Linked DNA regions of Xenopus tropicalis. The protein of the gene in region 2 purifies or fractionates together with the protein of the main gene of each other region. This does not show direct contact. Links are inferred from orthologs where the notes say so. Each region holds a gene or a part of one and is shown on either strand. Other genes may lie near its edges.

Region 1 (4,245 bases), on a different chromosome or scaffold from region 2:
CACAACTTGGATTGCTGAGTTTTAAGCCTGTATTGTATTCCTGATGTTAAATAGGAGATATGACTTTTTTGCATAAAAACACTGCATTTACGCTTAATATCCGTTGGAACAAATAATTCACTTACCATGATTTCTTACTTTTCACGTGACAGTCTTCACTTTAATCTACTGTTTTGTATTTCTTATTGTAATCCTTGGGCATCATAAGAATCTCCACTGTATTCTACATATTTTTTGTAGAAAATAACATTTTATTTTGTATTCCTGCAGTTAGGGTAATTTTGCTTTTCATGGCCCTGTTAGGCTGTGCATTGTAATTCTATGTAAAAGCTCTGATTTGTATTCCTGGGGTATTAATCTCTAGATTATATTCCTTTCATGGATTCATGATATTTTCAGGTCAGTATCGAATTCCTAGTATACCCTACTTAGGAAGCTCTGTATTGTAATCCAGTGGGTTCTAATGTTATACTTTGTATTCCTGGGAAATAGGCAGACTTTCTGTATTCCTAAAAAGTATGGAATTTGCACTGTATTTCTGGCATAATAGTAATAAATATGATACCATGATTTATTCCTTGCACTGTTATCCTGTTGGATACGACTTTGTATATCCACAAATTAGTTTTGTTTTCCACATACTCGTAGATATGCTCTGTATTTCATGGACAACACAACTTTCCACCTTGTACTCCTGCAATTAGAATTGTTTTGTACTCCATAGCCCTGGAAGGTTGCACATTATATTTCTGGGCTAGTAGGGACACTGCATTGTATTCCTTGCCTGAGTTGCACTGTATTCCTGGGACATAGGTTGATATACTGTATTCCTAAGAAGTATGGGTTTAGCACTGTATTCCTGGCATAATAGAAATCCATATGATACTTGCCATGATTTCTTATCTTCAGGACATGGTCATTTGCTCCATTCTTGAGATTAAAAATCGATGTATTCCAGAAATTGAATAAATTGCATATTGCATCTATGATGTATTATTATATGTATTGTATTCCTTGGGCAAAATTACATTCCATTTGGTGTACCTGTAGCAAAAGGTGCATGTAATTTCAGTAATTTTCCACTCCATCTTGTAATCCTCCTGTTGTTTTCCTCCATGTACCAACACTCAGACAAAAGCTGTAGTTTTCAGTGCAGATACCCGGATATACAAAAGAGAAGGGATTTGCTTCTCTCCACCTGCCTAAAAAGTATAGAGGAGCGGAGCCAGTTCTCTGTGTGGCCTTGCGAAATGGGGTATATCATTCCTTGAGCCTGGAAACTTTAATATATTTATTATTACTCTTTTTGCAGTATAACTATGTTGATAATTGTAATATTGCTTTTGTAGCATTATAGTTGTAAACTGACTCAGGCAACAGTAACAGCAACAGACATATATAATATTACAGACAAAACCACGTAAACATTTGTAATCCATTTGTAATCCATTTGTAATCCATTTGTAATCCATTTGTAATCTTTATTCTCAATAAACAATGATTCCTTAATGTCTTAATTTCACAACCCCTCTGGGTTACTTATATACGTATCTTGAAAAAATAAAGATAAAAATGATATAATAAAAAGTGTGTATGTGCATGTGCGGGGGGCTCTGAGGAACAGAAAATGTAGAGACTGTTAGCTAGAAAATTGTTTCAAGGTCATCTAAAACTTGTTGCAATATTTTAACCATTTCTATAAAAAAGATGAAGACAAAGTTAATCTGTACAGCCTACAGGTGTAACAATGGTTATCTATGGTTATGTTGAACTTCTCTAATATCTAAAGATCTCCTTACCAGAATCTGACACATTTCTGCTAGTAGCTCAATTGCATTTTTCACTTTTGCTGGCTAAACTGGTTAACAGGCTGCAAAATCCTGTGCTGGAGAGATGAGCAGTGCTGTGTCAGGACTTATCTGCCTTGTCTCTGTAAGAGCTGCAGCTGCCTGGCATTGTAATATCATGAGACTCAATGCTAACGGATTCAACCAATTTGAAAAGCAGGGGTGTGCTGTTAGAGATTTCAGTTGCAACTGAAATCAGTACTCAGTCACCTGACTATATTTCTGTTACTGCTAATGTTTTATGTACATTTGTTATGGTCTAAAATATTTACCATTCTTCTAAACATTAAAAAGCAGGCTAAACTATCACTTGGTGTACTGTCAGAAAGAGAATGAATAGTTGTTTAAAAAAAATGCACATATATATATTTATATATCTGTAGTAGGACATAAGCAACATTTTTTGTTCAGTTCAACATGTGGAGTGTGTGAGCTTAGTTTCCATTGCTTTATAGGTATTATTCTGCTAAGTTTCTGATGATCTTTTTACCATTATTTTAAAAGTAAGAAATAGCTTAGTGGCAGATACAAGCTCTCTTTCCCTAGTCCTCTTTGCTATATATCAGAAATGCAAGCAATTAGCATTCAGCAGAAAGTTAGATAAGAAAAGCTGGGGTCTATTAGCCTGAAAATGAGCCCACTGGTTATTAGGATACTAACAGTCCAACTCAAATTGAAGTCAATACTGAGCTGTATATCTGATTGCTATTTATCTGCTAATGCATTACATGTTATAGTGTCAAAGATTTGACAGTGCTTTTAGACTAATTTCAATCTAGGCTACAATGATTGCTAACATTAAAAACCAACCTTTATTGGAGCTCCCATCGATCCTCTCTGCTGCACTGTCCATGAGTGGTGAGCACTAACGGTCCTAACGGTCTAAACTGTCATTAACTGTCACTTGGCTTATTTGATGTACTGTCAGAGAGTTTTTATTGGAGCTCCCACAGATCCTCTCTGATCCACTGCCTTTCTCAAATAAGTAGTTGGCATGTTCTAACACTTCCTGCACAGAAGCGCAGTAGGATGTGGTCAGCCAATCACAGCTCTGCTTTCATCCAGGGAAAGAGAGTACAGTTCCCTGCTGAGTGACTCTACCTGCAGATCTGCTGGCATTCTACAGTGCAAGCTGCTGAGAGCTGCTGGCCATCATCCATGACTTGATACAGGGTCAGACTGAGCTGCCGGGGCACCAGGAAAAAACCCGGTGGGCCCCACCGTCCCAGACCTAATCCCTGGAGCACCAGTCGGCTGCTGTTCTCCTTCCCCTGGCGCACCTGAAAGTAACTATACTGTACATGCTCTCAGGGGAGGAGGTTGGGAGGTGCAGGGGCCCCTGGGGTGCTGCCCTGGTGGGCCCTGCACCCCCTAGTCTGATCCTGGCTTGCAATGAGAAATACAGTATTTGTTCTTGGAAATATTTGTTCTTGACAACACTTTACCATTAATCTACTCTTCAGTCTATTGCATATCTTTTCATTCAGAATAAAAGCTTTCCTTTTCTCACAGCTGAACACATGCCTGAATGACAAAACTTAAATGATCTGTAAATAAAGTAGCAATGAAACCTGGTTTTTGTTATATAATCTTTTATTTTACCATTTTTATTTAATGTATTTTTCTTTCAAGCATGTTTCTTAAATGGCAGGGTTTGGCTTGCCTGGAGACCAAAGAAGGAAGGAAGGAAGGAAGGAAATGGCTTAGGAGTCAGTGGGATTTGGAAGAATTTGGCTCAAGTTAAAGTTTTGTCTTTTTTCCATTATAAACCTGGAATAAGAAACAAACAGATTTAGGTACAACTGGATTTAGTCGCAGATGCAAACCTGCACCTGTGCAGTAACCCATAGCCCTGAAGTAGCTGTTAGTTTACAAATTAGGCATGGGAAACCTCTCTCTCTTAGCATCCCAAATACAGTCTTCTGCTGTCAGTAAGATGCTGGGGGTTGTCATGTAACACCATCCTTTGGTCATTTTTGAATTGCATTTAGTCTTTACATCCTAACTGCAAAAAGCTGATGTGAACTAATTGTGAATTAATTCCTCCATGGTTGGTATGGTTTGCACTAGTGCAATTTCCACTTAAATGCTATCCACTTAAATCTATCTATCTATCTATCTATCTATCTATCTATCATCTATCTATCTATCTATCTATCTATCTATCTATCTATCTATCTATCTATATGTCTATGTATCTTTCTGTCTATATGTCTGTCTGTCTTTATGTCTATCTATCTATCTATCTATCTATCTAGTATATTTTAAATTGTACATTGGGTGCTTATTGTGTGCTGGGTGAGTATTTAACATCAAAACAATAGTTATTGTTTTTGTTATTGTATTATTACAGTCCTTTGCAAATGTAAAATAGCAGAAACACCAGTAATGCAATAGC
Region 2 (4,180 bases):
CCATACAAGTGCAGGCCTAGTGTCATAAGAAAACAGCTTTTCTGTCTCAAACTGTGAAAATTGAGGATTTAAATGTTCACCAGTGCTAATTCCACAATGAAATATGGTTAAATGTGAACAGTCTGCCACAATTAGAAAAAAGAAAAAGTGAATCCTAGCTGCTGTGTATACGGACAGCCTATCTGGGCAAGCATATCCTCCTCAAGGAAAACTGCAACTTTGTAATTAGAATACACATATATAATTGTTAATGTTAAATGAATGTTAAAGCTTAAATAAGTATTGTCCTACTTGTATTGCACATTATTACTGTCTTTATACACTGTATTCACTGTGTAAGCATGTTATGCAGTAGAGATGACAATTAAGGAAATGAACTGAGAGAAGAGAAAACTATCTTTTCCTTTTAAATGGTATAATTTTTAAGCCAGGATGCAAGGTACCTGCTTTGCATTTTCAATATATGCAGCCATGTATTCATAAGCAGCAGCCTGAGCATTGACTCTGGTTTCAGTTCCTTCAACTGGTAAAGCAAAACTGTCCATAATGATCATAGTCTCCCCGTCCACTTTTCCAAGCATGAGGCCCATCACCTCAAGGTTCCCTCCTGATCTGGCGTGCATGACCATCTTCAGCAGGGCTAGGGCAGACACTTTGCAGTACTTGAAGTAATGATGGCTGTAAACAAGAAGAAGTAAACTTACCCAGGGCATAATTTCATGTGAACAACAGAAAGGCAGCCTCTTTTCTTGCTAATCAATAGCAAGTCAGTTCCCTTTAATAGCCAAGCAGTGTTTGCTTTGGTTAGAACAATGCAGCTCACCATTATCTCACCAATCTGCACATCACATAGCTTTAACAAAAGTGCATTTTATAAAGGCTAACCGAATATACCTATTGAATGTGTATGAGGCAGCTATGATCTCTCTGCAGCACTTAGGACAATGAAAGACAAGGAGTTTAGACAACTGCCTTGCCACTGGTGAAAATATAAATCACCGGTGGGAAAACATAAGCGATGCTACAGCTTTCCATAGTCAGAAGTTTCTTTGCAGGGCAACTTCGCATAATTTTGGAAAGCCAAAGCAACGCATATGTTTTTCCACCGGCAATTTACATTATCGCCAGTTGGAAGGCATTTGGAGATGATCAGTTGCCCATGGTAGAGGAGATTTATAATGGGCAACTAATCTCATGTGTCAGGGCCCTGTTGCATGAAAGATCAGTAAAAGGGCAATCTAGTCAGTGTATCTTATGTCCGATACCTGTACCTTGTACTTGATCCCAACTAAGATATAATTTATCCTTATTGGAGCCAAAACAATCCTATTGGGTTTAATTACTGTTTACATATTTGTTTTAGAAGATTAAAGGTAGGAGATCCAAATTATGGAAAGACCCCTTATCAGGAAAACCCCAGGTCCCAAGTTTTCTGGATAAACATACACACATTAATTGGACTGGAGACAAGGAACCTTTCTTTCCTCTGTAATATTCAAATCCCCCCATAATTAATACAAGCTAATAAAAGAATTACAGAGGAAAAAGTTTTTGGGTCTACAGATTCCAAACCCTGTCACTGCTATACAATGCAGTATATTACCTTTGTTTTTATAATTGTGATAATTTGTACATAGATAGATAGGCTAGATAAAGAGCACTGCACGCTCAAGTTTATTGAAAAAATGTTTGGAATACCAACAGTATTCTTCAGGGACAAACCAACAGACTGAATACCCACACACATTTTAAATAACATCCCACAAAAAATGGCGCCAAAAAGTGATCATAGTAACCATAAAAAACACTGTAAACCAACAACATGGAGAACAGAAGCAGAAAGAAGCAAAGAAACAGAAAATAAAGTGAAAATAAGTTAAATTATAGCGTTACAAGTATGTATAAATGGTTAATGAAAAAATGTTACAAGATGTGTCTTAACATTAAAGTTGATAAGATATGAGACATAACAGGGACAAACTAAGCAACAACAGCAGGACTCACCAAGGTTAGGGAGAACAGTATTGAATACACTTGTATCGAATAAACTTCTAAAGGCCAGTCATATGCATCTAAAACACTCCGTAACAATGTGTTACAGCCACAAGTCAATCCTGACCGACCGTCAGCTTCTTCATGTAAAGTCACATGCCCCTGAGCGAATATGGCCTGTAGATATGCAGCTGAGCATATCTATAGAGCTTGGTGGTCAAGCAACTGGGGCTTTATCAGCAGCTTGTAATAACTAGTTTACTTATAGTAATAACTAGTATTGAAACCACCTGGCTGCCAGAGATGTCTGGGAATTGTAGTTCAAGTAGAGTACTTTCAAGTTTTTCACAATGCTAAAGGGTATATTTATCATGCTGTGTAAAAAGTGGAGTAAAACATTACCTGTGATATTGCTCATAGCAGCCAATAACATGCTTTGCTTTAGTTTTCTAATTGTTGAAATCTAACTGCTGATTGGTTGCCCTGAGCAACATCATCAGTAATGCTCTCCACTTTTTACAAAGCATGATAAATATACCCCTCAATATTGGTATATTTCACTTCAGACCATCCAATTGTTAGCGATCTACAACTTTCAAATCCCCTGGATGTCATGCATTCTGTCTCTCCTATCCCAAACAACCCCCGTCCTTCTCAATTCCCATTTCTTACTCCTTTGTCCATGGTTTGGCTGCTAGGATCTCCTGCTGCTGCTTCTTATCGTATTTATAGATCTCATCGATGCTCTGCACCTCCTGCATGTTATTGGAGAGCTCCCATGTCTTCTGGGCCACGCTGCTCCCAGCCATGGCCATGGCCTCTTCAAAGTCCGCCAGCCTTACAGCTTACACCGGCTCACAAATACACAACGTCGCCTCACACTGCGCACATCCGGAAGTCTAGCCTTGCCTCCGCCCTCCGCCAGGCGCAGTCACAGTGTGGGAAGCTGCAGGTTCCAGAATTATAACTTAGAAAACTCTCCTGGTTCTGGGATTGATTTCATTTCGGCTTCATTATTCTGTTACATTACAGAAAACAGGAAAGCATAACACACATCGGTCATATAAAAACAATACATTTTTTTGGTGGGGGTAAGACTTACAACATCACCCTCCTGTTTTCTACAAATGGTATCGTCTGCTTGAAAGTCATTAACAGTGACGTCTTTCAGTATTTTATTAACCCCATCTAGCGATAGACAGTGGTATGGGGGGCTTGGATTGAAGATGGGATTAATAAATGGGTTCAGAGCAAGAAATGGATCCCAGTGCTGTTTTATGTGGGTTTCCGTTTAAACTGTAACCAATAGGTTATTGATGCAACAATGGCTGCAGTTAGGAAGTAGCTAAACAATCATGAACTGCAGTAAAATAGCAGGTCTTAGGCAACTGGGTCAGCATATAAGTACCTACAGTGTTATGAATAGAATGCGTTACCTGTGGGTTTTTTTGGCATGTAGTGCAGCAAAAAAAGGATGAAAACTAGGCAAATTTATATCTTGTACTAAATTCTTATGCCTTAACCCTTTCACTTCCAGACGATTGGGTCAAAGCGGAACTTTCACTTTAGGGGCCTTTCCTCGGGGGGACTTTTAGTTTACCCAGAAAAACAATATATCATTTTTTCAGGACAATTTAAGCTTTCAAAATATGGTAGAATTCCAATTCTGTAACAAGATATAGGCTTCTAAATGTCTAAAAAAATTATTTTATGCACGAAAATACAACTGATTTGGAAAGCCCCATGTCTCCTGAATGTGCCAATACCAAATATACATAGTTTTATGGAGATTTCTCACTTGTATAGGTCAAAAACTACAAGCAGTACACTACCAAAATTCCAAAGCACTGGTTCAGAAAGCTGCATACTTCAGGTTTCAAGGCCAAAGATTGCAGTAACAGAGGGTTTATCCCAGAAATCATACATTTTTGGAAACAGATTCTGGGGAATCCAGAATACGCACAACTGTCTGTCTACTCCAAACTACCAAGTTTCCTAAAGTTACTGATTTTTATCAAAATTTGTAAAATTTAAAAAAAATAGCTTCAAAGCTTCCAGTCTATAGTATCTTATCTCCTGCAGGTCATAAAGTAACCAAATTAAACATCCTAAATTTGAACGCCAGGGGTCCACTGAATAGTTTGACACCCAATATGTATAGGTTTACCTAAGTAAGTGTCATGTAGGG

The links.
Region 1: the proteins of cops5 (region 2) and btbd1 purify together in Homo sapiens (affinity purification with mass spectrometry; 3 studies listed by BioGRID and IntAct, counting the BioPlex papers as one, with this or other methods). This does not show direct contact. The link is inferred for Xenopus tropicalis from reciprocal best matches to the Homo sapiens genes COPS5 and BTBD1.

Annotation. Positions count from the first base shown.
Region 1 is NC_030679.2:105,452,051-105,456,295, forward strand, and holds the start of btbd1 (BTB/POZ domain-containing protein 1), read right to left. Parts: upstream 2,834-4,245; 5' UTR 2,658-2,833; intron 1-2,657.
Region 2 is NC_030682.2:119,216,937-119,221,116, forward strand, and holds the start of cops5 (COP9 signalosome complex subunit 5), read right to left. Parts: upstream 2,817-4,180; 5' UTR 2,808-2,816; coding exon 2,665-2,807; intron 679-2,664; coding exon 444-678; intron 1-443. UniProt on the Homo sapiens protein: Probable protease subunit of the COP9 signalosome complex (CSN), a complex involved in various cellular and developmental processes.